4 linked regions of the Caenorhabditis elegans genome follow. The protein of the gene in region 3 purifies or fractionates together with the protein of the main gene of each other region. This does not show direct contact. Each region holds a gene or a part of one and is shown on either strand. Other genes may lie near its edges.

Region 1 (8,572 bases), on a different chromosome or scaffold from region 3:
AGATATGTAGTAGCATTTGGTGCAGAGCATCGGGATGAAGCTGAAAATATTATAACTTGAACTCTTATTATAAATACTTTTATGTATATTTTGGTTGTATTTTTTCAATAGTTTATACAGTTTGGCTACTAAAAAGCAACTCATTATTGTAATTGGTTATATGTTAATTTGTTAACTTTTTAACTAAGTAATAAAGCTCAAAAAAGTATTGACTAAAGTAAAATTAAAAAGTTGAGCAATGTTTGTCGCCTGCGTAGATTTGTAGACGTTTTTTTTCAACTAATTGAGTTAATTCAAATATTATTAATGCCAATTTCTTCTGAACAGTAATGGTTGCCGGAAGAATGTTCTGAAAGAAGTTCTGAAACCACCTGAGAGCTTGAAAAATATATGTTGTTCTACATATAATGGTTATACCGTAGTTGTTAGATTTCTAAATTATACGTGAATTTTAGGGAACTTACCTTGAAGTATAGGAACCAGAAAACCAAGTAAAGTAATAACAAGCATCAATGTTCAAAAAGTGTGAAAAATTTTCGGAACTGAGGAAACTTGAAGTTAGCAACGTTAGCCGTTTTCTCGGAAGAAAAGGTTGAATGGGAAAGTGTCTTTCTAGTTCGTTTCAATAAATCGGTGACCTGAATATTATTGTATTGTGTGTGTAGTCGTCAATGAGAAGTATCCAGATAGAAGGCAGCTTCTTCTTCGTCATCTTCGTTGACTTCTCTTTTCACTCGATAATTGCTCGCTCGCCTGTCCGGCTAATGAACCCCTCGGAATGAAAGGTAGAAAAAGAGAGAGACTGTGCCAAATGACGAACAGTATCGAAACATGTTTCGGTAATTATATAACCGTCAAAAAGTTGAAAGAAATTCTGAATTGAGAATTTTTAAGCAAGAGAAAAATTCGTTGGGTTTTTTTTTTAATTGCATCAAGGTTGCAACTTAACACACACACAGAGAACAGAACAAGAGACTCGTTGTTCACCTCATAAGTCGTGCACAGAATTAGTAAATACAGGGTGGGCCAAAAGTATGGTAACACGTTTGCAGCTCTATAACTTCACGTGTGGAGGGAGTTATTACATCAATGTGTACAAGTTTTGTTCTCCATAAAATACTGACCAGATTAACGTTTTGAATTTTCAAAATATCCCCATCCGCATTGCTGCAGGCCTTCAGAACTTTTGAGATCACGATCTTTATGGCACGCAAGTCGGCATTCTGCGGGATTTCTACATTTTTCTCGAGGAATCCATCAAGTATCTTACAAGTTTTTATAGTTCAAAGAATGCTCTTGGTCTGGAGATTCTTTAAAAACAAAAATCCAAAAAATTTCTATCGTGGTATTTCTGTACGGACTGTGGCAGTAGTTTAGGTCTTGAATGACACAGTCGCCAGAAAGATGGATGTGAGCGGCGGCACCAGTATTCATTTTAGTACTTTTTGGCACGGTTTGACCTGAATTTTCAGAATTTTTAGAAAAAAATTAGCTCTGCTGATTTTGTGGGTCGTTACGCCTTGTGAAACCAAAAAAACTGAGTAAATTTCGGAAAGTTTAATTCATGAAATATTCAAAGGTTCTTGCTAGGCGCCAGTGTCGACACAGAAAATTTTTATATGCTACAAAAACAATCAAAAACGCTTCTTCATTTCTTTAACTTTCAATTTAACATAAAAATCATACATCTGAAAATTATTGGCGTGCGTGGGAGGTGCGTTTGTGTGGGAAGTGCCGCGTGCCAAAATGCCGTTTTAAAAAGGGTTCGCCAAATTGCCGAGGTGATTAAAATCGCACCTTATTGGGAAACATTACAAATTTTGGGTCAAATTGAAGGAAATTTATTCAGCTATCAGTATTCGATAGAAAAATGTACGTATGACGTGGCAGTCGCGCGAAAATCTCATGTAAAAGAGCGCTTCATGTGTTACCATACTTTTGGCCCACCCTGTATGAACATGGGTTCGTACCATGGAACCACAACGAAAATGACCAAAAGTTCCATATTTTTGAAGTCCCACAGAAAGCTATTTATTTTCTACCAGTTGTTGCATTACGTTTTGATTATTTGTATTTGAGCATTGTGTTGTCAATATTATAAGAATCATACCATTTCCACACACACACACACACACATTTTACATAAATAATTAGCTAAATTTATGTAAATTCTCTTGATAATTTACAAAAAGAACGAGCAAAATCGGTTATTCTTATTATTCCTGACTCGTATCGAGTACTCTTTCTACTATAATATTGCTCTTGGTTTGGACATTGTGGAGAACACAACAATAAGCAAGAAGATTGCCATAATCAGGTAAAACTAAGGCTGCAAAGGGGGCCTCTTCGATTTTAAGATATAACTGAGTTTTTTGAAAAATCTAAAACGTTTAAGGTTGTCCAGAGCAAAATTTGCATAAACATTCAACAACTTCACTATCAGTTTCAAAAAAAGTTGATTTTTCTCGTAATTTTTTTTCATTCATTTTACAACATTTCCTGAATGCAATTTTATTTATAAAATCTGCCACGAAGCAGCCACCGTTCGTAAGAGACACCTCACAAATGTGAGAAACGCAGACAAAAAAGTCAAAGGCACGCCGACTTTCCCGCTGTGGTCTCGATACGATCGGGGCTTTCTGAGTTGGCGATGGATGCGCCTCTACCTTTTGAGTGTTCTATCGTTTCGCCAACGTATCTTTTGATGAATTTTAAGATTTTCTTCTAAAAAAGATTAATTTCGGTTGATTTAAACATCTGAATTCTAAAAATCCAGAATATTATCGATTTTTGAATGTTCTTTCGGTTTTATTTTATTTCTATAAGCTGACTATTTGCAAATCTTCCTCTTCGTGCTCAGCTTAATTTTACATTGAGTTTATTTATTTTAGCTTTTTTTCAGAACAAGATGCCTCTCCGACTTGATGTAAAAAGAAAGCTTCTGGCTCGTTCGGACCGCGTGAAATGTGTCGACTTGCATCCAGTCGAAACATGGCTTCTAGCTGCTCTTTACAATGGAAATGTTCACATCTGGAATTACGAAACACAAACGCTTGTAAAGTCATTTGAAGTAAGCTTTTTTTCAAATTTATGTGCAAACTTCATGAAATTACGAAATAACTGAATCTAAATTTTGCAGGTGTGTGACGTACCAGTTCGTGCAGCGAAGTTCGTTCCAAGAAAGAGCTGGGTTGTCACGGGATCTGACGATATGCATATTAGAGTTTTCAACTACAACACATTGGAACGAGTTCATCAATTCGAAGCACATTCTGATTATCTCCGATCGCTCGTTGTTCATCCAACACTTCCCTACGTCATTTCATCATCCGACGACATGCTTGTTAAAATGTGGGATTGGGATAACAAATGGGCAATGAAACAGTCATTCGAAGGGCATACTCATTATGTCATGCAGATTGCCATCAATCCAAAAGATAATAACACTTTTGCAACTGCTTCTCTTGACAAAACTGTCAAAGTATGGCAGTTCGGATCGAATGTTCCGAATTTCACTTTGGAAGGACACGAGAAAGGAGTCAACTGTGTCGATTACTATCATGGTGGAGAGAAACCATACATTATTTCTGGAGCTGATGACCATCTGGTCAAGATTTGGGATTACCAAGTAAGTTTTTTTTCTCTTTGCATTCATCCAAAATGATATTTTCAGAATAAAACGTGTGTGCAAACGCTCGATGGACATGCGCAAAATGTGTCTTCAGTTTGTTTCCACCCAGAACTGCCATTGATAATCACAGGATCCGAAGACTCCACTGTTAGATTGTGGCATGCAAACACCTACAGGCAAGAACATTAAAGTACGATTTCCACAACAACAATTTAAAATTTTTAGACTGGAAACAACCTTGAATTATGGGTTGGAACGTGTTTGGTGCATCCAAGCTCAAAAAGGAGCCAACACTATTGCCATCGGATACGACGAAGGTTCCGTCACGTTGAAATTAGGCCGAGAAGAACCAGCAGTCAGTATGGATTCGTCTGGAAAGATTTTGTGGGCAAAGCACTCCGAAATTCAGCAAGCTAACCTGAAGACAATCTCAACTGAAGAGTCGGAAGCCATTCAAGGTTTGGAAAACTTTCATTCGACTTTTGTATAGTTCGGCACATGTTTTCTGAAAGTATTAAAAAAAGAGAAATTGTGTTCATTTATTATCACTCTAAGACAGTTCATTTACAGATGGAGAACGTCTGCCGCTTTCTGTAAAAGATCTCGGATCTTCTGAAATCTATCCACAAACCCTTGCTCATTCATCTAATGGACGTTTTGTTGTCGCTTGTGGTGACGGAGAATACATTGTTTATACTGCAATGGCTCTCAGAAACAAGGATTTCGGACAAGGACTCGAGTTTGTCTGGGCTGTTGATCCAAATATGTTTGCTGTCCGTGAATCTGCCACCAATGTGAAGATAAAGAAGAACTTCAAGGATCACAAGTCAATTCGTTCAGATATGGTACTTGAGGGAATTTCTGGTGGACCACTTCTTGCCTTGAGGTTTTTGAACTCTTATCAATTGACTTTTATTTAATTTTTTGTTTCAGATCGAACAACTCTTTGTGCTTCTTTGATTGGGAATCAGCCGTTCTTGTTCGTCGTATCGAAATTACTTCCAAGAGCATCTATTGGAGTGACAACGGAGAGATGGTCGCAATTTGTGGAGATGATTCATTCTACGTTCTCAAGTACAGTGCTGAAGCAGTTGCCAATGCAACAGAAGTGACCGAAGACGGTATTGAAGACGCGTTTGAGGTTATTGGAGAACAGGCAGAAGCTGTGAAGACGGGATTCTGGATCGGGGACTGCTTTATTTTCACCACTGCACTCAATAGAATCAACTATTATGTCGGTGGAGAAATTGTCACTATTGCTCATGTTGATAGACCACTTTATTTGGTGAGATTTTAAAACATGCGTTGTTCTTATCATTTTTAAAACTTAAATATTTTAGTTGGGATACATGGCTAAGGAATCTCGAGTCTATGCCGTCGATAAGGATCTCAACGTGATCTCATACAAACTTCTTCTATCTGTTCTTGAATATCAAACTGCTGTAATGCGCCGTGACTTCGATACTGCTGACAAGGTACTTACTACAATTCCAAAAGAGCAGAGAACTCGTGTTGCTCATTTCCTCGAAAAGCAAGGATTCAAGAAGCAGGCTCTTGCGGTCTCTCAAGACCCTGATCACAAGTAAGACAATTTTCAGCTTTTCAGCAATAATTTTGGAACGTTTTCAGATTCGATCTCTCGGTAGCTCTTGGAGATTTGAAGACTGCCTACGATTTGGCACTGCAAAGCGATTCAGAAGAGAAATGGAAGGCTCTCAGCAACGCCGCCACTCTTAAGTCGGAACTTCTTCTTGCTGGTGAATGTCTTGGAAGAGCTCGCGATTTCGGAGGTCTAATGCTTCTTGCAACGTGTGCCGGATCAGCTCCTCTTCTTCAGAAACTTGCGGATGACTCTGCTGCTGCCGAAAGCCACAATATCAGCTTCCTCAGTAGTTTGCTTCTTGGAGATATTGATGCTTGTCTAGACAAACTTATTTCGACTGGTCGCCTCCCAGAAGCAGCGTTCCTTGCTCGAACACATGCGCCGTCTCGAGTTTCATCTATTCTTGAATTGTGGAAAGCCAAGGCTTCGGGACACAGCGAAAAGAGTAGCAGAAAGATTGGAGAATCTCTTGCCGATCCAGTGAAGTATGAAAACTTGTTCCCTGGATTTACCCAATCACTGAAAGCAGAATCTTTCGTTCGTGAGATCTCCAAGATTCCAGTCCCAGCATCCGTTCGAGTGCCATCAGCTGCTACCCGGAATATTCAAGAGGAATTGGATGAAGCTGTTGCTTCGGGAGCAGTTTCTTTTACTGATGATGGCCAAGCAGTACTTAAGAATGCCCCAAGACAAACCGAGACACAATTGAAAGCTCCACCTCCTCCATCAGTTGCACGTCAACCCTCGCCTGTACGCCAGCCATCCCCTATTCGTGAGCCATCACCGATCCGCGAACCTGAACCTGAAGAAGAGGAAGAACAGGAAGAATTCGATGATGATCAGCAAGAGGTGCATGTTCCAGCTGTACGTTTTGAACAGTTTTTTATTCATATGGAATTTGACTATTCGTTGCTAGAATCACCAATTTATTTTCAGAATCAAGAAAGTGCCGATGCTCATGGAACATCTAAAACTCCTGATGTTGTTCTTGAGACAAGCCGGCCTGATATTGTCCCACCACGGGGGTCCGCCGCTCCAGATTTGGTTTCCGCGTCTTCACAACAATCTGCTCAAGATGTAAGTATTTATTTATAAATGTTTTGAAAATTATATAAACTGCGAAAATTCAATCAATTAATCCAATTACAGTTCCAAGATGATACGCAATGGTCAGATGAAGATTTTGGAGATGCTGAAAATGGAGACCTGAATATGGACGATCTAAATTTAGACGAGGAAGATTGACTGGTAGTCGATCGATCTGCCCAACAAGATCAGAAAGACTGAGTATCAGTGTTATTTTTTTGTGTATGTAATTTAAGCCCCCCCCCCCCCCCCTCCCGTCCTATCAATGTCCCCATTCCATCCGTAATTTCATGCACAATTTTTTGACGAATGATTCAGAGCAGATCGATCGATAGATAATTATTTTATTTTTCATGTTTCACCCCAAAAAGAGGTTTTTTTCTAACCCATCTGGTGTCGGTCACTCTCTAACATTCTTTGGGAAATTGTTAATTAGTATTATGGGAATGTGATAATGTTTTTCTTATCAAATAATTATGTAATTTATAGTGTTTTTGGCGCACTCGTCTTTTTTTGTGATTTTTATTTCTACTGGTCACTCCTGTCGTAAGCTCCCTTTGCCAACTATCCACCCAATTCATCCCTCCCCGTTTTCATATTTCTGCCTTCAAAATCACATAACTTATTGAATTTTTATGTTTATCGCCCTTTCTGATTTATAAGTAAACACTAAGTTATTTCCAGCTTTTTTGTGCGGTGTTTTTTGTATTCTAGGGGTTTTCTTCGAAGTTTTGTTCTATGGCTTTTTCCACTTCTACTATCATCCTCCCCAAAACTTTCGTGTTAACGAAAAAATGATGTAATGAGAGTTTTATTGATTGAAATGATTTTTTTTTCTTTTAACCGTGTTTGAATAAACGGAACAGAAAGTGTATGTGTGGCTGATCAGGAACAATTTGTAGATATTTATGTCTACACAAGTGATAATCAAAAGGCACTTCAAAAAAGGAGCAAAATGATAAGAGGCGTCGAGCCGATTTCAATACGGAAAAAGCGTATTCGGCGACAATCCGATACGATTTTTGGCACGGAATCCCATTTGACGAGGTTGAGCCGAAACTGAACGAGCTTCTCTTTCCATTGGTGGCTCTTCAGTATGTCTTGAAATTCGTTCGGAAGATTCGCTTCGCCGCTTGTTTAATGTTTCCGACTCGACGCCACCCCGTCAACTGTCTCGTGGTTGGCTTTGTTCTTTCTGAAATGATCATGATACTATAACAATATGATATAACATGTCGAAATTTTGTGAGATTTCTTTAAATAACCTAGTTTTTCAGTTCTCATAAATGTTTATTTTTGAATCTACACATTTCACATTTCCTTGATTTTTTACGATCCATCACTCATACGAAAACATGTGATTAATTTTGTCCCGCTTTCTCAAGGGGACTCCAAAAATTGTATATAATACTCAATGTATGCTCCTTTGCACGGAAATCTTTAGTAAAAGGCGAAAGATTTTCACGGTTAAATGCAGAGGAACCAGAGTTGAAGTGTTAGCTCTCCTCTTGAATTAGAATGAATACATGTGCGGACATTCTGCGGGTTTCGCCAACGGTTGTATTACCTATGGAGAAGGGACGGGACAGGCACCATAAAGTGGGAAACAATACTCACTTGTTTAAGATATAGAAGAGATATATTTTGAGCAAAACTTGTTGGAAATGGTTCAAAGAATAGAAATAATTGACGAGACGATGAAATACAATTGACTGCAATTCGAGTTCTGAAATAAAATTATAATAATTAGGGTATTGGATATCATGAGATTAACCTCATTTTCGGAGGTTTGTCGTGTTGCTTATTTTTGATAAATTCATCCAGATAAACCTCTTTCTTCTTTTCCATAAAATTAATCCGTTTGAACTTCTGCAACTTGAAATTAAAATTATTTATATATTTTTTGAAATTAAAAATGAAACCTCCGCATCTTGATTCTTGAAACTTGGAACCACTACCAAAAAGTTATCATCATGGCGGTTATGGCTTGCAATATACCGGTATACAGCTGAGATCTGAGCAGTCTAAAAAATTAAAAAAGGTTTATGGTTCAGTTGAAAATTTAATTTGGAAACTCACCAAATTGTCACTTGCTCTACCCAATTCTCCAGCATTCACTAACTTCAACTTGTAATATGTTAGATCAATGTCATCGTGTGCTGTTTCTGAAAAAAACATTATTGAGAATCATTTTAAAACAGAAATATAATTACCAGTAGTGAAACAAATAATGTGATCATCTTTCCTTGTCA
Region 2 (8,221 bases), on a different chromosome or scaffold from region 3:
TTGGGTTGTCCGTCTTCAAATTGTTCTTCTCTTGACGATTGCTCTTGCAGTAACTGATTTCATTTTTGGAGCTCTTTTCAGTAGTGAGCCGGAATCTGGTGTATTCCGTTTCTCATCTGAAAGAATTCGAGTGAATGCAGATTCTCATTATGAAGCTGTTAATTGCTCAATTATTGGTATTCCACGTCAAATTCCTGAGCAATCATTCTTCACAGTTTTCGGAGTATTCTTTGCCAATTTCCTAGGAGTCCTGGCGGGTGTAAACATGAGTGGTGACTTAAAAGATCCTCATAAAAGCATTCCACTTGGAGAATTATCTGCTGTTGGTGTCAGTTCTACAATCTGTTTTATTTTTATTATGATTCTTGGTGGAGTTGGAGATAGAATGTTCCTACTTTGTGATGTCATGATTTCTGAAAAAGTTGCATTGACTGGAATCGTTTTCCTTGTTGGATTATATGTTTGCTCACTTTCGTCAACTGTTGGATCACTACTGGGAACACCTAGAGTTTTACAAGGCATAGCTGAAGAAGGAATTATACCATGTTTGAATGTTCTTGCGAGAGGGGTATAGTTCATAAGGACCTGCGCAAAAATTATTTTTTTATAATTTCAGGTTGGACCCAATGATAATCCTGTTTTAGCTGGATATCTTTTAATGGGTGTAGCATCTTTATTCGTACTTCTAGGAGATCTCAATCAACTTGCCATTCTTTCAACAATGCCTTTTTTGATAACTTATGCATATGTCAACTATTCATACGTATCACTTGCAATGAGCTATGACCTGGCTACTGTACAACATGCAGATGAAGTTGAAACTGTCGGTTACGGATCCACGAATAAGATGAACGATCTGAATGAGCTGTTTCCCGAGCGACGAGATGTCAATATTACAAGCACTGAGGAAACTGAAACTGGAATAATTTCCCAAGAAGCAACATGGTATTCCATGTTCAGCAACAGATACGTGTCTTTTCTGGGAGTGAGTGGTACATATCTTAAAGTTTTTCAAGTATTTTTTTCAGTTTCTGGTGAACTTGGCAATCCTTCTCTTAATTCATTTCTGGTTTGCTGTAGCTCATTTTGTCGCTCTCATCGCGTTGTATTGGTACATTGGAAGAGTCTGCCCAACTTGTGGTCCGGGAATTTCAACTTTCTCGTTATGTCACATGTTCAAAACAGTGTTTTCTTCATTAGATTCTTTGCGATCAGGTGCCACAACAATTTTGCCAGAGGTGAGAACGAATTTTTGAACCAGGATTAGTTTCTTTTTTTCAGACAACATTTACGAGCGGCGTATCGAGTTCCCAACAAAACGAGGCCAATCCAGATTATCAAGACAGACGACAATATCATCACTCGGAGAATGTTTCTCATCAATTAGATTAATCTTATTAACAATAGAAACTATAATTCATCCTTAAAACCTTAAATCGCTCCAATTTTGTTAATAAAAACTTTAGAAAATATACGTTTCCAGAAGAGAAAGTTTCACAATAAACTTACAATTATATGAATTAATGTTTTCAATAGAATGTGATTTTGCACAATTTAAAACGTACATTCAAAGTCACAACTGTTTATTACAACTGCGAACAATAACAATAACAGAAGATCACCACTTAGATGTTGGATGGGTAGAGAAGCTGAAAGAAATCAATGTGCAATTGAATAAAACTAGAATTATCTTACCACGCGGATTCTCTTTCCGAGGGCACTTGGTGGGATGTTGTGATGGAACTTGGCTCTAACGGCTCCGGCGTTTCCGTGTGGGCGAGTGATCTTTCCCCAGATAGCACGGGTACGGGTGGCGACGGTGTGTCCGGTTTTCTAAAATGAAAAAAAAATTAAACTGAAAAATATATGTGCGATACCAAAGTCTTGTTGTGGGCCTTGTACAAGTAGACGACGCGCTTTCCGGCGTAGAAACCAGCATCTTCCTTGTTGAAGACTCCCTCAAGCTTCAAAAGCGAGGTGTGCTCGGATTGGGTGCGAAGTCCTCTCTTGAATCCGGTGAAGATGGCTTTGACGTAAAGACTGAAAATTAATTTATTATTATTTTGTTGATGTCCTGATTTGTGAATTGCTGATCCGAGAAAATGGAAAAAAATGCCGCGGATTAGATAAGACTAGAAATAGTTAGGATAATGCTACTATACATTTTTTAAAGACTATATGAAGAATTTGCAGTCTGAATATTTTTCAGCAGAGCTCAAAAATATCCAGCGGTCACTGATTAAAAAAAAAAAGCAAAAACATACCGTCCAGTAGTTGGGGCCGATGGTCTTCTAGCAACAGCGGTGTCAGCCATTTTTACCTGAAACGAAAATTAATTTAGTGAAGAAGTTTAAAGTGGACGGAGAAACGAAATAGCGACGAAATAACAAATGAACATTTTTCAGATAACTGTTTTAACAATTTTTATGAGACTGGAGAATAATTGCGAAGAATAAGTAAGTTGAAACTTTTTACAAAAAATCGAGATTTAACGAAGTCCTAAAATCAAAAAGTGGTTTTTCGTAAATGATCCAAGTAAGAGAACAGCGGGGAATAAGATAAACATGATAATATTGATTTTATTACAAAAATATCCATTTTCTGCTCAAAAAATTCGTAGGCCAGCATGAAAATTGGTAAAAGAAAAGAAAAAATTCCGTAAAACGAGTCGAGGCGCAAAATAACTACGGTAGAAATGCCTGCACATCTAAACGTTAAAGCGGAGTGTCGTAGTGCGTGTTGTTTAGCAAATTGCAAAAAATATTGTTTTGTTTTTGCTTTCCTGTTTTTTTATATAATAGTTTCTTACGGAATTTGCTTGCGCTTGACAATTGAATAAAATACTCATTTTTAGTTCTACTGAACGAGAAAGCCGAATGTAATGGGAATCAGGCCTAATTTTGCAGAAGACGGTGAGAAAATGAATATATCATCAAATAAACCTCCTAATAGTTCCAGTTTATGGTGACAAAGAAAGGCGAAGTGCTGATGATGAACATGTTGAATACTCCGAAAGCTCACTGGCCGCAAGACGATCAGCAAATGTTTTGAAATTGAAGCAACTGAAAGAAGCTCAGCCTATGATAACTCCAGCGTATGGCGGATTCATTCATCATGAAAGCTCTGATAATGTAATTTTCATGAAGAAGTTGAAAAACAATACAGTTTTGCAGGTTGCCGCCATTGATAAAGATCTAGATTTCGAGTATGGTGACGGTGATGCAGGAATTCGTGAAATGGCAGAACTTTACAGTTATTCTGAAATAGAAGAGTTCGGTATTAACATCAGCAACTGGAAGGAATATATAGAGGAATCATATGCAAGCGATTTTACAACAGGAAAATAGTTATTTTTCTTTTACAGGACGGCAAGCACGAACAGTTTCCATCGACATTCGAAGAATTTAGTGCTGTCCAAAAAAATTATGTTATTCAAGACCTTTGCTCTCGAATGGAAAGTGCAGATTTGGAAGTTCGTTTGAAATCAGCTCGTATAATTCTCTTTCTGCTCCAGGTTTGTCTCTCATTTGTTATTCGATATATATTTATTTAAATTTCAGGGATCAGCAACAGACTTTGGATGTTTAGAAAATGAGGAAATTGAATATCAGTATGATCAAAAATTGTTGATGAATGTCCCTATTCGAAAAACCAAAGAAATGGACCCTGAGGGCCCTTCAATGGTCTACCATCGTGCAATCGAGAATTCTTTCATTTGTTATAAGAACGGCGTTTACCAGGTATATCTTTATAATTTTCAATCATTGTTTTAAAAATGTACATTTTCAGGCGTTGTGTACTCTGTTGATGACAGAAATTAAAGAACCATTTGAGAGCCCACCGAACGACGGGAGAATTTCAAAAGCAAGCTCAAGAAGTAGCAGGAATGCCAGTTTAGCCGATCTCTCGGATTCTGAAAAATGGAGAACGCGGCAGTTGCCAACTATGGTTGATAATGAAATGCTTCGCGTAATTCTCGCTGGACTTTATCATATGATTGTTCAAATTCTCGATGAGCGATCTGGAAGAGAAGACGAAACCGATAGTGATCTTGAAACCAGAAAAGCGTTTCGCGAAGAAGTTCAAGAACCAATCGAAAATGGAAATGAGCCTCTTCTTATTGTACTTTTCGACATGCTTCATCCGTTCTACATAGGAACTGCACCACATTTTCCAATTAAAAAGATTGTCCTGCTTATCTGGAAAATTTTATTGCTGACGCTTGGAGGTTGGGAGGAGCTTACTGTTCGTAAAAGAGAGAAACGAATGACTGCTGGCCTTGATATAATGGAGGATACTATAACTGTAGCTGCATCACAGGCCGCATTTATCGCAAAAGACCAAGAACATGTTCGTAATATGGCTCATAGAGCTGGAAGTTTTGCGAGAGGCGGTATGATGGCCCGTCAAATGGCTTATAATGATGATTCAAAAGACGAAGACGCTTATTCGGAAGCGAGCTCCGAAGACTCAACGATTGCTTCAAAGAAAGAAGATTCTCCAGGCGCTTCATCATCAACCCCACCCTCCATTCCTGATACTGCTTCGAATTTCAGACAGGGAAGTGGTGAGCAAACACCACGAGTTGGTTCCCCAGTTTTCCCGGTAATCCAGAAGAAAACTCTGCCTTGGAGAAGCAAAACGAACGCTCAGGATATTGAAGATTTTATTCAAAAAGGTCGTTTCAAGTATTTCAACTATGATTTTGACCCTGGAGATGATACAACACTTTTTGGCTTGCCTCCTTCCTTCTGTGGAGCTGTAAAAATTCTTCGAAATAACATGTACACGTCACTTACAGAATTGCAAGTCAAAAAAGATGAAGAACTGAATCGCTATCTATTTTCAATGAAGGAGGATATCCCAGAAACGAAAACCGAAACATTGTACAGGAAAATTTTGCCAAATTTGAGTCAATATATTTGTGCTCTGGTGAAGGTTATGGTTTCGTCAGTGCCATCAACGAAAGCACGACATGAAGGTTTAAATGTACTGATTGATTGCTTAACGCCTGAAATGGAAGCATCTGATATTTTATCAAACTCAATATCCCTCGATAATTCAACATCTTCTCCATTGGAGGAAGGATTCCGACTTGCCATTGACATCAACCGCCATAAAGAGATTATCGTTAAATCACTATCAGCAATTCTTCTTTTGCTAGTTAAGCACTTCAAGCTGAATCACATTTATCAATTCGAATACATTTGCCAACAGATTGTATATGTGAATGGAATTCCCTTGATTTTAAAGTTTCTCGATCAGGTATGTCACTTGTTGCTCTTTTGCAAAGTTCCAAAAGCGATCTTGCCTCACCAAAGTTCATTTGCCGCTCGATCTATCCATCGCCCCACCCTTTTCTCTGCGTTTCTCATTCTTCAATGAGTGGCATGTGAAATATACGTGCAGACTTTAAAAATTGAAGCCCTTCCCTTCAAAATCAGATTCTTCTTTCTGCTTTTCATTTCATTTTGTTACAGAACACAAACAAATTAATCCAATCAAGACATGAAATCTACGCCTACAACTATCCACAATGTTTGTACCATTATGTCAGAAATAATGGTGAGTCTTAATTATTCCAAACTAAATTTTTCGTATTCCTTTTTCAGAAGAATGGCCAATTTTGACTCAAGACAATATAGAAGAACCACGTCCACCTGGCGCTGGCCCGTATTTCATGTGGCGAAATGTTTTCTTCGCAATCAATCTCATTCGTCTACTCAACAAATTGGTCAAAGCTAAAAACGATCGAGTTAAAATGCTGATGGTGTTCAAATCTGCTCCAGTTTTGAAGAGACTTTTCAAAGTACGAGTATCGGTACTACAACTTTACGTGCTGAAAGCGATCAAAATGCAATCACGATACCTTGGACGCCAGTGGAGAAAAAGTAATATGGACATAATTTCGGCGATCTACTCGAGAGTTCGACATCGAATGACCGATGATTGGGCGTTTGCTTCTGATATCAAGAGAAAGTGTGATTATCAAAAAGAAGACAGTTTGATCAAAGCAAGCATCGAAAGATTCCATAGTAGACGATATTCGGCATTATATCCTCAATTTGCTATTGGTAAGATTAAAATAACAAAAGCTTATAGCAACAAAAATTAAATTTTCAGAAGTGAATGATGCTCCAATGCCTGGTGACGACTACCTGAATCGAGTTGATATGAGAGATTTTGAGCCCGTTGACACGTGTGCTCACTCTGTTCTTGGTGCAAATCTGAAACTTGGACGTCATTTTAAGAAAGATTACGAAAAGTGGCTTGAACAGGAAGTCTTCAATGCGAGTATTGATTGGGATAAACTTCTGATAGAGACACGTGGAGTGGAAGATCTTATGTAAATCGATTCGATCCCGTTTCCACTGAACAAAAATCTGTAAATAACTAATTATTAGTTATTAATTCTTCTTTAACGATAAAAACGAGTTCATCTTTATTGTTCCCTTGTTCCCCAATGATAACTAACTTGTAAATCGAAATTTTGTTTGAAATTTTAGATCTCCCCATGCCCCCTTATACTTTACCAACCATCATTTTTCGAAAATATTTAATTTTTCCTTGTCAGAACCAATAATTGGACTAAAACCGAATGAATTCAATTGTTTACATAACATCGTTGTTTTGTTATTTTGATCATTGAAACGTTTCAACACTTGATATCTCTTATTTCTATTACTATGCGTTTTACCAAGTCTATCTTATTGTTTCAGATGGTAGTAAGATCATTGCTTCGGGTATCCAGACTCACTTCAGCTAGTTGTAGGTGAGATTTATTATCGTTAATATCAAGAAAATAGAATTTTCAGACACGCATCGTTAGCAGTATCTTCAACTCCAAAACCCTATATTCCATCAGTCACTGGAGTTCAGAAATCAATGCCATTTGATAATCTATTAGAACAATATTCTCGTGTTCATTGGGATGACTCTGTCACATATGATGATCCAAATGTGCAGAAACTTTTCAAATCATTGATGAGCGGAAGTCGAGCTGCCCTGGCTTCTGCAATCACACTAGTTGAATCTCGCCATCCGACAAAAAGAGCACAAGGAAATATGTTGTTGAAGATGGTTTTAGATGAAGAACGAGAGAAATACAAGAAATTCGGGAGAGATTCTATGATATTTCGAGTAGGAATCTCTGGTAGTCCAGGAGTAGGAAAGTCGTCTTTCATTGAAGCATTAGGAGCAGAATTAACCGAAAATCGAGGAAAGAAAGTTGCAGTTTTAACAATTGATCCCACTAGTGCCATGACGGGAGGATCTGTTCTTGGAGATCTTACAAGAATGCAAGAATTATCTCGTAATCCCAAAGCCTACATTCGTCAATCACCAACTTCTGGATCGCTCGGTGGTGTCACTCGTGGAATTCATGAAGCTGTGATCCTCTGCGAAGGTGCTGGATACGATATTGTTATCATTGAGACTGTTGGAGTAGGTCAATCTGAAACATCCGTTTCCGATATGTGTGATATGATGTGTCTTCTGTTGTCACCTGCTCATGGAGATGAATTGCAAGGTGTTAAACGAGGTATTATGGAGATGAGTGATTTGTTGGTTGTGACGAAAGATGATGGAGATTTGAAAGCGAAAGCCAAGATGACACAGGCTGAATACATTTCCGCGTTGAAATTCATGCGACCACGACTCGATGTATGGCGTCCAAAAGTTATGAGATCCTCAATTATGGATAAAGAATCTGTATCAGAAGTTTGTTCGAGTTTGTACGAATTCTGGGATACAATCGGAGAATCAGGAGATTTGGAAAGAAGGCGACAGGATCAAATGAAAAAATGGATGTGGAATCATGTTAAAGACGAAATTATGTCCGTTTTCCAAAAGCATCCGAAAATAGCACATTTGGTACGTTTTTGTTCTTAAAATACACCATCAAAACGATATTTCAAAAGAATTTGCAAAAAATATAATACTGAATTAAAAAAAAATACTGTTTGATAAATTCTAAATTTTCAATTTTACAGGCACCGAAACTGGAAAATGAAATTCGAAGTGGAAAAATCACCCCTGGTCTGGCTGCAGAAACAATGATCAGAACGTTCTTCGGCGTCTAGGCAACTCCTCATTTTTACCCCTTTATAACTCTACATTTGTAAACCACCTGTTCAATTGCAATTTTTTATTGTATTTTCTCGAGACTCACCAGTGTTTAATGTATTCATTAGATCCAATGTATTTAGACTTTTTTTTTGTG
Region 3 (6,983 bases):
ACACGGAGAAAAGTTTTCTACATTGGAAGTTGTTGAATCTATCATATTAAGAAGACTACGGTAAAAGGTGCGACCGATAAATTTGAGTGAAAAATCCAGAATGGCATGCAAATCTTGCCATGCACCTTCATATATCCATATCGGCAAATTCAATCGCTTTTACTTTTTGAAATATGTCCGAGGGCATACTTTCACACAATCTCTCTCTCGCTAGTTTTTAATGCAAATTGTAGAAAACGACATGGAAGAGAGAGTGGATAAAGAAGAAGAAGTTGAGATATTCCGGCAAAAAAAGAAACACTGAAAGTGAATTGTCTAAAAAGGGCGAAGAAAGGGGAGGATATGAAGATGAAAACGAGTTAATAGTCTTCCGATGGCCATGTTTAGTCGTTCGAATGGCAGGAAGTCAATCTAGACATCGTGCCAATTAAGGAGAGCTTCATTGGAATGGCAAAAGTGTACACTACTGTTGTTGCGTAACAGGCGGGGAGAAAAAGGCTAAGGGACTAAGATATCAAGGTTTATCACTGAGGACAAGCGGGTTTTTTAGCCTGTTGATTATGGGCGAGGTCGACTGGATAAAGATATGATAAAAAGATCTGAATAGAGGTGATGACAGATTGAGAAAGAGAGAAAAGGCTTCAAAATGAATTGAAAGATATACAGAATTAAAAAAAATCAGGGTGATGATTTAATGTTTCTCTGTTCTTTTTCATCAGAGGAAAGAAAACTGAAAAAAAACTGTGGAAACAGTAAAATCGTAGAAAACGAAAATAGAGAATGAGAGTTTAATAAGATGATTCGAGAATTTCAAATAGTATCCAACTGTGAACATCATTTGAATAATTTCAAAAACAGAAAGGAATCCGGACACTATTGCGGATCAGGTGGATTCTTTGAATAATTAGACTGATCCCGATATTTTCGAATCAAATTGTTTTTGTGATTGATGTTTTGTAAACGTTTTTCGATTTTCTTGATCACTTTTTCTCTATAGAAGTAATACTATCAATTTTGGAATATGTAATCTGCAATTGTAGGCCAAAAACAACAGTTTTCTCTGATTATGAGAAATACGTTTTATTATGAATGCTACTTTTTTTGAGCTCTAAATACCAAAATGAGTTATTTAAAATGTTCAACTACCGCCGTATTTCTAATAGTCTAGCACGCTCAACTGCGTCGGCTCATATCTCGAATACATACATTTAAGTTCATCAAAAATTGATAATTGCCAAAAACATTTATATTTCTCATACTATAGTTTTTAAAATTCTTTCTTTGGTATCTCAAAAATCATCCGAGATAAAAGGTGTCAAAGTAAATTAATGTGTGCAAGACTATTAGAGGCATTCCGGGATGTATCCAGAGGGTTATCTGACTGTCTGATCTTCAGTTATAGTGGAAACATCTTGCAGTACTTTGTGACGTCACAAATGTTTTTCTACTGCTATGTCACAGTAAACTGTTTGTATTCTGTTGTAAGAAGTATTTCAGGGATTTCAGGAAATTGAATAGTGAAGTGTCTCTACCGTATTCCTCTATTTATTAGTATTCTACTTTGTCAGCTTTTATATAAGTTTAACATACAACATATTTTTCATTCGCTGTTCCTATCGTTTGTAGTTAATTATTTATTGATTCAAAATAAGCCTTTCAGAATGATGTAGCAGGATGCAAAATTAATAGAGGTGATACGGTAAGCGTTCAAAACGGTCAGACTCGGTTACTGTAGTTCTAAATGTGTTCACTATCCGCGCATCATGTACGTGATCACGCGTGAATGAGTTTCTTCGTTTTCTCTTGTTTTACCAACAAAAATTGTTTCGTATTCTTCCAACGTGGACTATTTCTATTATTTTTCAAATCATTTCACATTAAAATGTTTTAGTCATCACAATCAATGACAACGACATCATCAGACGAACTTCCTCGACAGGCGGACGACGATTCAATGAAATGGGATCGAATTTATATTCAGGTAAGGTTGGAGAATACCTCCTGCAATGTCCAAAGTAATTGTAAAACACTATTGACCGTTGAGATTATAAAAACTTTTGCGGGCCGGCCGACTGACACAACAAATATGAATAATCCGAAATTGTACTATTTTCCTCGTTCTGTCATTTTCTTCCTTACGTGTCTTTCACTCCGAAAAATGACCTCTTTGAGCACAAAAAGCTGAACTGACTTTGTATCGAATTTCACCCATTTCGCGACTTCTTTCAAGTGTGCACGGTCTGAGAATTCGGTCTAGGGTTTTCACTGCTTTTTCGATTTCTCGATTTTCTCAACTTCTTCAAACATGGCGGCAAAGTTGACCAGCATCTCTGTTGTTTTCTAAAAATAATTTTTTTTTTCAATTTATCTTATAAAATTTTGTAAAACGTATAATTCTAATGATTGCGTCCAAAAATACCTAATGTTTCACAAGACATTCGAAATCAGGTCGGATTTATTTAAAAAAATATATATTTTAAGAGTTAAAGATTTTTTACAAGAGTTAAAAAACGCTGGATCAATTAAATCTGTTCGGTTTTGCTCTGAACGATCACACTTGTGTTTGTCGAGCTGTCATTTCCCTTCTTATTTCCACAGACGAAACTCTCTTTACTCGTGTTATCGAAATGCATCACGCATCAGGAATTTTTATGGCATAATTCTGCCTCCTTATCGATTCGCTCGTTTCACCTATCGTTTTATTTTTTTGGCGCCTTCTGTCCTTTCTCTTCGATTTCCTTTTGATTTGCATTTTCGCTTCTGAAAAATCGGAGCTTGTACAATTTTCATTAATTCAGGTATGGACGATCATCGTTTCACTGACACAATTTTGAGAACAACTAATGTTCAATCTGCGATACAAAGATTTGAGAAACGAGCCCCTGTTTCTGCTCCACCATATCGAGAATCTGAGCCATTCAGAGAAGTTTTGAAAGATGAACCGGCACCACCATTTTTACAAAAACAGAATTCCTATGATTCACCGTTGTTTGTCAACACTAACATTGTGTATCCTGTGGAACAAAATTCATATTTTCCACAAATCACACCTCCACGCGAGCATGTGACATATGGAATTATGAATGATTCCAAAATGGATGATTCTATCGATAGTGCCACGTTGAATAGATTCGAGACTGGTTTCAAACCTTCGAATTTCGGAAAAACCATACAAGGAATTTACAACTCAACAGAGCATCCACAGCAAACACCAGAAGTTGTACTACCATCGAGTTTATCAGTTGATCTGAATGTCATGTCACCTGAAGTGTCACCTCCAAAACCAGCTGAACGGCGGAAGGTGGTTAAACCAATTGAAGATAACAGCGTGAGTCGGAATTGAAAGCAGTGCATTATTATTTTCGAAAAACAATGTGACTCTCATATCAAAGTGTTTTATATTTATGACCGTTTTCGAATAATTTTCCCATTTTTAACAAAAAATGTAGACCTTGGATGGTTGACCAGATACATAAATCATTTTATAAGCATAAAAGATAAACCTAGTTGTACAAATTCCTCTTTCTGATGTCTTTACTAGCTAAATTTCATTGGAAATTTGCGAAAACTGGAAGCAATTTCACTAAAAATAAATATTTACCACTGTCTCTGCAAGTTGTCGTAAGATGTGGTGTTTGCGTACACATTTGAACTCTGAGCTGATGATTTATTTTCTTTTCCGTATTAGCTCAGTTTTTATCATTCCTTCCCCTTTTATTGACAAAATACTCGACCTCGAGTGAATTTTCAATGGATTTCACAAATTTTGGGTCCGAAATTGAGGTAAGCTTATGAATTTTCAACCGAAAACCTTTAAAAAATCTGTTTGTTGAGGGTTACAGTAGATATTTGCTCGGCACAAAAGTGCAATTGTGTGTAGTGTGTGTTTTTTAGTACTCTTTCCGTCATAGTCAAATACTAGTTTTGATTCCGATTCGAATTCAGGCAATTAGAGAGTGAAATTGTGTCGAATAATTGAGTGTTCCATTTCTGAACTGATACGCCACCACATGCATTCAAATTCAATTTGTAATGCCAATCACATTGAAACAGAAATGTTTTACGGGATTCTTATTCATTTCTCAATGGTGTCCTCATTCTGGCGCTTCCTTCCTGAAGTACGTCTACGTTCTCTTCCGTACGTCGTTCCAATGAATTTGTATCCGGCGGACGCGTACTGCGTGATGGTGGGAGGGTAGCCAACCGAAGCAAAACGTCCTCTCTCGTTCGGTTGACGAGGACTGTACGGCCGTCTGCCATACACTAATCTGTCGCTTTTCTCCTCATTTTCGATGCATTTTATCCTTCTGGAGTGGGGGCTTCTAATCCAAAACTTCGCTCAGCATCTCCCATTCTCTTCGATTTGTGTCACTTTCCAAGAAATTTATGAATCTAATCCCATAACAGATGAAGATGGTTTAAATGTGCGAAGTAATCATTCTTCTTTCAAAATCGTTACTACGTTGGAATGCAGTCTGTTTGCTCAAAACGTTTAGTATCCTCCTCCTTTATTCTCCCAGTTTCTCGGCCGTTTTTTCAACTGCTCGGAACGTACGCGATTTGCAAAATCGGACGGTTTTTGATCAGGCAGCGGTAATTAGCACTCTAATACCGTTCACACGTTCTTTCTCCACGTTTGAATACACAATTGCAAAGACTTTGTATTACTTGTGAAATTATTTATTTCATGACGTTTGTCGTTTTATTGTCAACTGCAATCGCCACAAAATATTATCTAGACGTTTCATGACTCTTTATGCTCCGGTTCGATATTTTTTCTTGGAATGGACACGTTTTCCAGCCCCACCCTTATTTAATCTCATACATATGTCTGATTCCACATGAACAAATCGAGTATTGATGCTCCAAAATCGCTACACTTGGGTTTCCTAGCCTATCCCGCTTCTTTCCTTCCCGCACAGACCACCACAGTTTCGGAATGTTTGAACAACACGGTGTGCTGCTGTTGCCGGTGTGACAGCGGCCCCCCGATGGACGGGAAATATCGAGAGATGGTGAGAAGCAGAAATAGAGAAGAAATTGTACGGAAGAGTACAGTTTGGTGGTGAGAGAAGGCGCAAGAATCGGACGGAGGTCTAGTTATGTTTGTAGTCCCAAGGCGTGTATTATATTCAGAAATGTGCTTATACGTCTTGTGAGCATTGCTTAGCGCTTAAAGTGATTTTAAATCGTTCGTATAGCTGAAATTTAATCGAAAATTAAAAATTTTCTTAATATATATTGAATCTCCTCTCTGTGTTCATTTTAATCACCTGTAGAAACGCATAAAGAGTAGAAAGTGAAAAGAGGGCGGGCAAGTTAAGTGTTTGATTCATCATTAGGCGCAAATATAGTTAGGAGCATAAGAGGAGTGTCGTGTGTCTAATCAGCAACTAGTCATACTCTGCAATCTACATACCACGCTCATTTTCTATCGATTTCCGTGTCTCTAACACCGTTCTGTTTGAAAAAAACTGTTTTTATTTTGGAGAAAGAATTTTACTATACAATTCAGCTTTCACTATGACGTTTGCTAATTCTGTAAGTTTTTTTGCTTCATCTTTTAACTTGCTTCATAAGCATAATAATTTGAATTATAATTGAAAAATGTTATTGGCTGTGCAGCCCTTTCTCTTTTTCTCCGCAAAAAATTAGTTTTAATAATGGTCTCGATAATCTTTTTTCTTTATCGAAGAAAATATTAAATGATCACCACACTTTAAAAATGCATTTTATTTTACATCCTCGTATAGTTTTCAGTATGTCTGTCGATATTTTAATACTATTTGAGTCACATTTGGGTTTGTGTACATGGGACAGTCATAAATATGAATCACGTCTCGCATATCGTTTTTTTTGTAACTGGTTTTTCTAACAGCACAAAATCATTATTTATTATTTCAATACATTCTACAAATTTTGAAAAAAAAAACAATTATTTTTTTTTCAGAAACTGGATCCTGAGGTGATATTCACAAAGCAAGAGCGCATTGGTCGCGGCTCTTTCGGCGAGGTTTATAAGGGTATTGACAATCGAACTGGACGAGTTGTTGCCATAAAAATCATTGATCTTGAACAAGCAGAAGATGAAATTGAAGATATTCAACAGGAAATTCAAGTGCTCAGTCAATGTGATTCACAGTATGTCACCAAATATTTTGGCAGCTTTCTCAAGGTATTTTTTTTATAAATGAAACTTTAAAAAATCTAAATTGTTTCTGTTTTATTTTTGAAAATTTTTTAAGAAATACAACAAAAAAAAGATAATAAAACCAATCTGAAACATTTTTGAGCACCTATTTGAGTTTTTTTTTCAATTACACGAGCAAAATAAATTAGAGCAGCTTTAGTTCTATTTATATTGATAAACTTTAGCAATTTGAAAAGTAATCAATTTATAGTCACAATCACAACAATTTTTCATGAAAAATTCAATTAAAGTAATTTCGTTTCCAAATTTGAGTTATCATTATTTTGGCTCAGCATGTTCCTCGTTAATTCACTAGAGTTTACCATTTTAAATACCATGTCTTACAATTTTTTCTATTTTTCAGGGATCAAAATTATGGATCATTATGGAATACCTCGGTGGAGGCTCAGCGCTCGATTTAACTAAAAGTGGAAAGCTGGACGAAAGTCATATCGCTGTGATTCTTCGCGAAATTTTGAAAGGTCTCGAGTATCTGCATAGTGAAAGAAAAATCCACAGAGATATTAAAGGTGAGCTTTTTTAGTTTAAAATAATTTCCAAATTAAATAAAAATTCGAACATTTTTAAATGGTTTTTATTTCAATTTATTCTATGTTTGGGATTCAGGAGCCAACGTTTTGTTGGACCGTCAAACAGCGGCTGTAAAAATTTGTGATTATGGTGTGGCAAAACCACTCGACACAGTTTTGAAAGCGAATACTTTTGTGGGAACTCCGTTTTTTATGGCTCCTGAAGTGGTTAAAGGCGAATATAGTATTGAGGTACTTTCAAA
Region 4 (5,911 bases), on a different chromosome or scaffold from region 3:
TATCGGAGCAATGCATTCTGTTGTTTTCGCTGGTTTCTCTGCCGAATCACTTGCCGCTCGTGTTGTCGACGCTCGCTGCAGAGTTTTGGTTACGGCGGACGGAGTTTTTCGAGGAGCTAAACCAATTGGGCTCAAGTCAATTGCGGATGCAGCTGCCGTTCTCGCATCGCAGGAAGATGTCAAAGTGGAAGCTATCATTATGGTGGAACACTTAAAACGAGTCACGAAGCCTGATGGAGTGGAACTTCCCAAGGTAACTAAATATAATAAATTTAATGCTCTAAAATGCTCAAAGTAGTCTCAAATTCAGAAAAACCAGAAAAAAATTAAGTTTTATTGATTTTTCATTTAAAATTACAACAAAAAACATTTTTCAGGTCGATTACACCGATATCACCGTCATCTACGATTCGGAGATGCTCAAGTGTGCAGGCGTGGATTCCCCGGTAGAATGGATGGATTCTGAAGATCCGCTATTTATTCTCTACACATCGTTAGTTCAGAATTAGAATTTACTTATTTCTCATTTAATTCAAATTGTTAATTTTCAGTGGCTCAACCGGAAAACCGAAAGGTATTCAACACACTACAGCTGGATACATGACGTACGCCTACGCAACCACAAAATACACTTTTGATGCACAAGAAGACGATGTTTACTGGTGTACTGCCGATTGTGGATGGATCACCGGACACTCGTACCTTCTTTATGGACCTTTGATGAATGGGCTCAAGGGAATTTGGTATGAAGGTGTGCCGACTTATCCGACTCCTTCTAGAATGTGGGATGTCACTGATAAGTATGGTGTGACCAAGCTGTATACCTCACCAACAGCCGCAAGAGCTCTTATGGCTCTCGGAAATCAGTGGCTTGAAAGGTAATAATTATTCAAAAATAATTGTTCAGCATCTTTATTTTTAATTTTCAGCTCTTCTCGCAAAACTCTCAAGGTTATCGGAACAGTTGGAGAGCCCATCAATCCTGCTGCATGGATGTGGTTGTACAAGCAAGTTGGACTTTCCAATGTATCCATTGTGGATACTTACTGGCAAACTGAAACTGGAGGACACATGATCACATGCCTTCCAGGAGCAACTCCAATGAAGCCAGGAGCAGCTGCAATGCCATTCTTCGGAGCATCTCCAGTTCTTTTGGATGCTGAAGGTCGTGTTATTGAAGGTCCGGGAGAAGGATCACTATGCTTTGATCGTGCCTGGCCTGGAATGATGCGTGGAATCTATGGAGATGAGCAACGCTTTGTCAAGACCTATTTGGCTCCATTCAATGGATACTATTTCACTGGAGATGGTGCCAGACGTGATGAAGATGGATACTTGTGGATAACTGGACGTGTTGATGATTTGATGAATGTCAGTGGTCATCTTCTGTCTACTGCTGAAATTGAATCAGCTCTTGTGGCTCATGAGAAAGTTGCTGAAGCTGCCGTTGTTGCTGCTCCACATGACATCAAGGGATCCTTCCCATACGCATTCGTCACTTTGAATGTTGGAGAGAGAATCAATGAAAAGCTTGTGGCTGAGCTCAAGAAACTAGTTCGCGAGAAAATTGGTGCATTGGCTGTTCCAGATGTTATCCAAGAAGCTCCAGGACTTCCAAAAACTCGTTCCGGCAAGGTTACCAGAAGAATCTTGAGAAAGATTGCTGAAGGATCCGAAAGTGGAATCGGTGATACTACTACTCTAGTCGACGAATCTGTCATCAAACAACTAATCTCTGGACGTTCTGCACGTGCATAAACGAACTTGAACAATTGTAAATCAATTCAATTCTTACTATTAATGTTACTTTTTCTGTATTACTTCTCTTTTCCCCCTCTATCGTTGTAATTTCTGCAGAATCAATGCAAGATCTAAACTTTTAACCCCAACATGACCTTCTTTGTAATCAAGATGCATTCCCTGATTGACTCCTGTGTAGAATTAAATTCCAGTGTTGTAATTTCCCCCAGTAATTTATTGAACCCTGAATTCGAAATTAGAAAACAAGTAAATGATTCAGAACTGATTAATTGTTTTAACTCAATTTCAGATTTTCAGATAACAATTTTGGCTTATTCGGATAATTAAAACACGAAACATGAAATTACAAGAAGAAGATTAAATACTTACATGGAGAAATGCATTTCATATGCCCAGTGAATCTGATGTTTAGCTCAATTTTTATGAATTATGATAAAAACCACGAAAGTTCAATACAAAATAATATTTGATTTAACTTGCATTGCAAAATTACAGGAAAATGAATTATTTTAAGCATAAAGTGTGTTGTTTTGATAGGCCGTTTGAACAAAGCAAATCGATTTTCTTGATTATATAATGATGCTTCAAAATAAAACTTGATTTACATGAATATTTCCCGTTAAAAAACAATGTATTTAAAAACATTATTATTTGCAGAATCTCTCCAACTGCGAAAGAAATCGAATTCAAACAACCGCGCTTGTCGTACACTTGTACACTCCGCCGCCACAGCTACGGTAAAAGCGTGTTTTGCGACGCACAAGTGTGCGCCGAGTGTGTGGGTCTCCCAACGCCTTTCACTGGCCTAAACTTCATTTCAATTTGTTTTAGCCTAAAATTTTCATGTTTTTTTCGAATAAATTTTGTTTTTTTACGTGCAATTCTAAATTTAAAATGTTCAAATTAGTATCTGTCTAGAAAAGTAGTTATTTAAAAAATTTTTTAACCGAAAACGCAATTTTTATTCTTTGTTCGCTCATGCTTTTTCTATAATTTTTTCGTAAAATTAATATTTTTCAGGGTACAACAATGTCTCACCGAAAGTTTTCGGCCCCGAGACATGGACACATGGGATTCACCCCAAAGAAGCGCTCCCGCACTTACCGTGGAAGAATCAAGGCTTTCCCAAAGGATGACAAGAGCAAGCCAATCCATTTGACCGCTTTCCTCGGATACAAGGCCGGTATGACCCATATCGTCCGTGATGTCGATAAGCCAGGATCAAAGGTTAACAAGAAGGAGGTTGTCGAAGCCGTCACCATCGTCGAGACCCCACCAATGGTTATTGCTGGAGTTACCGGATACGTCGACACCCCACAAGGACCACGTGCTCTTACCACCATCTGGGCCGAGCACTTGTCCGAGGAAGCTCGTCGTCGCTTCTACAGCAACTGGTTAGTTTATTTTTCAACTATTTCGTTTTTTGTATTCAGTGTTATGGTGCGTTTTTGGTGTCATTTGGTGGTTTCGTGATTACAAGTCTGTATTTGCAGTCGCGTTTCTAAGTCGGTTGCCTTCCGCTGTACTTATGTACATGATGGTAAACGAACTGAGTGGCTAAAGCGTCCTGTACGCTGAAAGGCATTTTGTTCGTAATCGTAGAAACTACAGGGCTAAATCCAAGAAGAAGGCTTTCACCAAGTACGCCAAGAAGTGGCAAGATGAGGATGGAAAGAAGCTCATCGAGGCTGATTTCGCCAAGCTGAAGAAGTACTGCTCTTCTATCCGTGTGATCGCTCACACTCAGGTAATATTTATATTTAGTTTGTTTGTATTCTTAAGTTATATTTTGCAGATGAAGATCCTTCGCCGTCGCCAAAAGAAGGCTCACCTCGTCGAAATCCAAGTCAACGGAGGAACCATCGAGCAGAAGGTCGACTGGGCTCGCGAGCATCTCGAGAAACAAGTCCAGGTTGATACCGTCTTCGCTCAGGATGAGATGATTGACACCATCGGAGTTACCAGAGGTCACGGATTCAAGGGAGTCACCAGCAGATGGCACACCAAGAAGCTTCCTCGCAAGACGCACAAGGGTCTCCGCAAGGTCGCCTGTATTGGAGCTTGGCATCCATCTCGTGTCGCCTTCACTGTCGCTCGTGCTGGACAAAAGGGATTCCATCACCGTACCATCATCAACAACAAGATCTACCGTATTGGAAAGTCTGCTCTCACTGAGGAAGGAAAGAACAACGGATCCACCGAGTTCGATCTTACCCAGAAGACCATCACCCCAATGGTTCGTTTTATTTTTTTCACCGTTCTATGAAGAAAAAGTCTGCAATTCGTACTCTGTATGGCGACTATATTTTATCTGAGAACATCGGGCGTTGTAATCAATTTTCATGAATTTTTAATAATTGTTTTGTTTTAGGGAGGATTCCCAAGATACGGTATCGTCAACCAGGACTACATCATGCTTCGTGGAGCCGTTCTCGGACCAAAGAAGCGTCTTATCACCCTCCGCAAGTCGCTCATCACCCAAACCAAGAGAGTCGCCCACGAGAAGATCAACCTCAAGTGGATCGACACCAGTTCCAAGACCGGACACGGTCGCTTCCAAACCACAGCCGAGAAGCGTGCTTTCATGGGAAAACTCAAGAGAGATTTCCTTGCCGAGGCCGAAGCTAAGGCTTAAATTTGTTTATTCAAATAAATTGTTATTGTTATCAAATGTTTCTTCACTGTTCACATTTTGAATACACTTTGAGTATGCTTTTTTGTTGAATCTGAAGGACTATGCTGCTTGTATTGAAGAATAATAATCCGAAACATTCATTAGGTATAACATTAGAAATCTGGAAGGGTGTTAGACCCGGTAATTGTTAAGATAAAAAGTTCAATTTAAAGAGGGAGTTAAAGGGTTCGAATTTGATGGGTTCCTGAGTTGGGGGTTGATCGACTATTACACGTTGCAGGAAATAAAACAGAAAAAGTGAAACGAATGAAACAGATGGAGATCGGAATATATAAACAGAAAGATTATAAGAAAGTGAAGTTTCAGAGTTTTCTTTTTGGTTTCATAAAGACATCAATCACATAATTTATAGAGATTATTACAATTATTATTATTATTTGCAGAAAACGGCAGGGCATTGGGTAAATGAGGAAGAGAGAGAGACAGTTGAAATCATAGATTCTACGCTTTGAATTTCCAGTTTTTTGTGGAACACTTTTTTTGAGGTTTTGACTGATTTAAAATGAGGGTCAAATACATTAAAACTTTCGTGTGGGATGATTGAAAGACATTGGGAGTTTGATATTTGATATTGGGATGGTTGAAGAAAATTGGTTTTTTGTTGGAAAATGGATAAAATGAACCGGCACTTGATGTATTGATTAAAGAAGAGACTTAATTCCGATCGGAAGTTGTGGATGCAGAAGGCTGAATTTTCCTTCTCGTCGATGTTGCACGTTCTTGTGATCCAGTTGGTGTAACTGAAAAGACTAAAAAAATTAAATAATATACCAAGTGACGATGTTTCAACAACTTACACGTTGGCGTAGGAGGTTCCATTCTTGGTCCACCGATGCTTCTGGATGGCCCAGTACGGCTTACTGTATTTGTGGTCTGCCACCGTTGTTGGGTAGTTTTTCGGGAGATAGAAGGCATCTGAAAATAAAAGATATAATTGATAAAACCTTCGAAAATCGAGCACATAAAGAGCTATAGTAGTCACTAAAGGAGGTACTGTAGTTTTCTTTGTTACCATTACGTATTCTCAAATTTTTGTGCTCGTGCAATATAATATTTTGTGAATAAACTCACTTCTTTGGTGGTCGGTGTCGTTCTGTTCAACTCTCCAGTAATAAAACGTACAACTTTTGCCATACATGCATCCTGATAGTCGTGAACCCATTTAACACCATTATACTTTGTAATCATTCGAATATCATTCGGAATTTGATCTTCTTTTGTTGGGAATTCGAATGCAGTATCAAAGATTGGAATAATGTTCTTCTGGTGTTCAAATGCACATTTCAGCTCTTTGTGCACCCAATCCTCACAGTTATCATCATTTAAAAGTCTATCCAAACTGTTTGGTGTGAGAACAAGGATGAAATGTTTGGCGGCTTGAATGTTCTTGAGCAATGAGCTGTCGAATTTTCCAGCATACAACTTATCGACATCAATGAACACTCTGTATCCGCG

What was found.
Region 1: the proteins of gck-1 (region 3) and copb-2 purify together in Caenorhabditis elegans (affinity purification with mass spectrometry, with the first as the bait; one large-scale study listed by BioGRID). This does not show direct contact.
Region 2: the proteins of gck-1 (region 3) and farl-11 purify together in Caenorhabditis elegans (affinity purification with mass spectrometry, with the first as the bait; one large-scale study listed by BioGRID). This does not show direct contact.
Region 4: the proteins of gck-1 (region 3) and rpl-3 purify together in Caenorhabditis elegans (affinity purification with mass spectrometry, with the first as the bait; one large-scale study listed by BioGRID). This does not show direct contact.

The regions. Positions count from the first base shown.
Region 1 is NC_003282.8:9,456,829-9,465,400, forward strand, and holds copb-2 (putative coatomer subunit beta'), read left to right. Parts: upstream 1-2,902; 5' UTR 2,903-2,908; coding exon 2,909-3,070; intron 3,071-3,139; coding exon 3,140-3,628; intron 3,629-3,673; coding exon 3,674-3,807; intron 3,808-3,856; coding exon 3,857-4,089; intron 4,090-4,201; coding exon 4,202-4,517; intron 4,518-4,564; coding exon 4,565-4,916; intron 4,917-4,971; coding exon 4,972-5,213; intron 5,214-5,260; coding exon 5,261-6,098; intron 6,099-6,170; coding exon 6,171-6,311; intron 6,312-6,383; coding exon 6,384-6,479; 3' UTR 6,480-7,192; downstream 7,193-8,572. Other genes in the region: cutl-17 (PAN domain protein), read right to left, coding at 1-40, 465-510; F38E11.6 (Adenylate kinase), read right to left, coding at 7,486-7,515, 7,938-8,046, 8,095-8,195, 8,243-8,344, 8,400-8,485, 8,534-8,572. UniProt on the Caenorhabditis elegans protein: The coatomer is a cytosolic protein complex that binds to dilysine motifs and reversibly associates with Golgi non-clathrin-coated vesicles, which further mediate biosynthetic protein transport from the ER, via the Golgi up to the trans Golgi network.
Region 2 is NC_003280.10:7,099,662-7,107,882, reverse strand, and holds farl-11 (DUF3402 domain-containing protein), read left to right. Parts: upstream 1-2,847; 5' UTR 2,848-2,881; coding exon 2,882-2,912; intron 2,913-2,952; coding exon 2,953-3,131; intron 3,132-3,173; coding exon 3,174-3,320; intron 3,321-3,364; coding exon 3,365-3,514; intron 3,515-3,560; coding exon 3,561-3,740; intron 3,741-3,789; coding exon 3,790-5,265; intron 5,266-5,480; coding exon 5,481-5,565; intron 5,566-5,612; coding exon 5,613-6,074; intron 6,075-6,123; coding exon 6,124-6,350; 3' UTR 6,351-6,665; downstream 6,666-8,221. Other genes in the region: F10E7.9 (Amino acid permease/ SLC12A domain-containing protein), read left to right, coding at 1-568, 617-985, 1,029-1,238, 1,282-1,392; rpl-35A (Large ribosomal subunit protein eL33), read right to left, coding at 1,626-1,649, 1,696-1,833, 1,878-2,040, 2,265-2,314; mmaa-1 (Methylmalonic aciduria type A homolog, mitochondrial), read left to right, coding at 6,720-6,772, 6,816-7,872, 7,992-8,081.
Region 3 is NC_003283.11:8,945,908-8,952,890, forward strand, and holds the start of gck-1 (Germinal center kinase 1), read left to right. Parts: upstream 1-2,796; 5' UTR 2,797-2,800; coding exon 2,801-3,328; intron 3,329-3,577; exon of another isoform or gene 3,578-3,750; coding exon of another isoform or gene 3,751-3,783; intron 3,784-4,076; exon of another isoform or gene 4,077-4,338; intron 4,339-4,830; exon of another isoform or gene 4,831-5,523; coding exon of another isoform or gene 5,524-5,541; intron 5,542-5,950; coding exon 5,951-6,175; intron 6,176-6,554; coding exon 6,555-6,720; intron 6,721-6,817; coding exon of another isoform or gene 6,818-6,972; intron 6,973-6,983. UniProt on the Caenorhabditis elegans protein: Serine/threonine-protein kinase which is required for normal oogenesis and suppression of germline cell apoptosis. Inhibits phosphorylation and thus probably activation of mpk-1 during pachytene stage.
Region 4 is NC_003281.10:3,865,073-3,870,983, forward strand, and holds rpl-3 (Large ribosomal subunit protein uL3), read left to right. Parts: upstream 1-2,781; 5' UTR 2,782-2,790; coding exon 2,791-3,155; exon of another isoform or gene 3,156-3,157; intron 3,158-3,256; exon of another isoform or gene 3,257-3,372; coding exon 3,373-3,508; exon of another isoform or gene 3,509-3,510; intron 3,511-3,556; coding exon 3,557-3,997; exon of another isoform or gene 3,998-3,999; intron 4,000-4,132; coding exon 4,133-4,396; 3' UTR 4,397-4,515; downstream 4,516-5,911. Other genes in the region: acs-19 (Acetyl-coenzyme A synthetase), read left to right, coding at 1-253, 378-493, 552-878, 930-1,758; tir-1 (ADP-ribosyl cyclase/cyclic ADP-ribose hydrolase), read right to left, coding at 5,111-5,205, 5,254-5,371, 5,528-5,911. UniProt on the Caenorhabditis elegans protein: The L3 protein is a component of the large subunit of cytoplasmic ribosomes.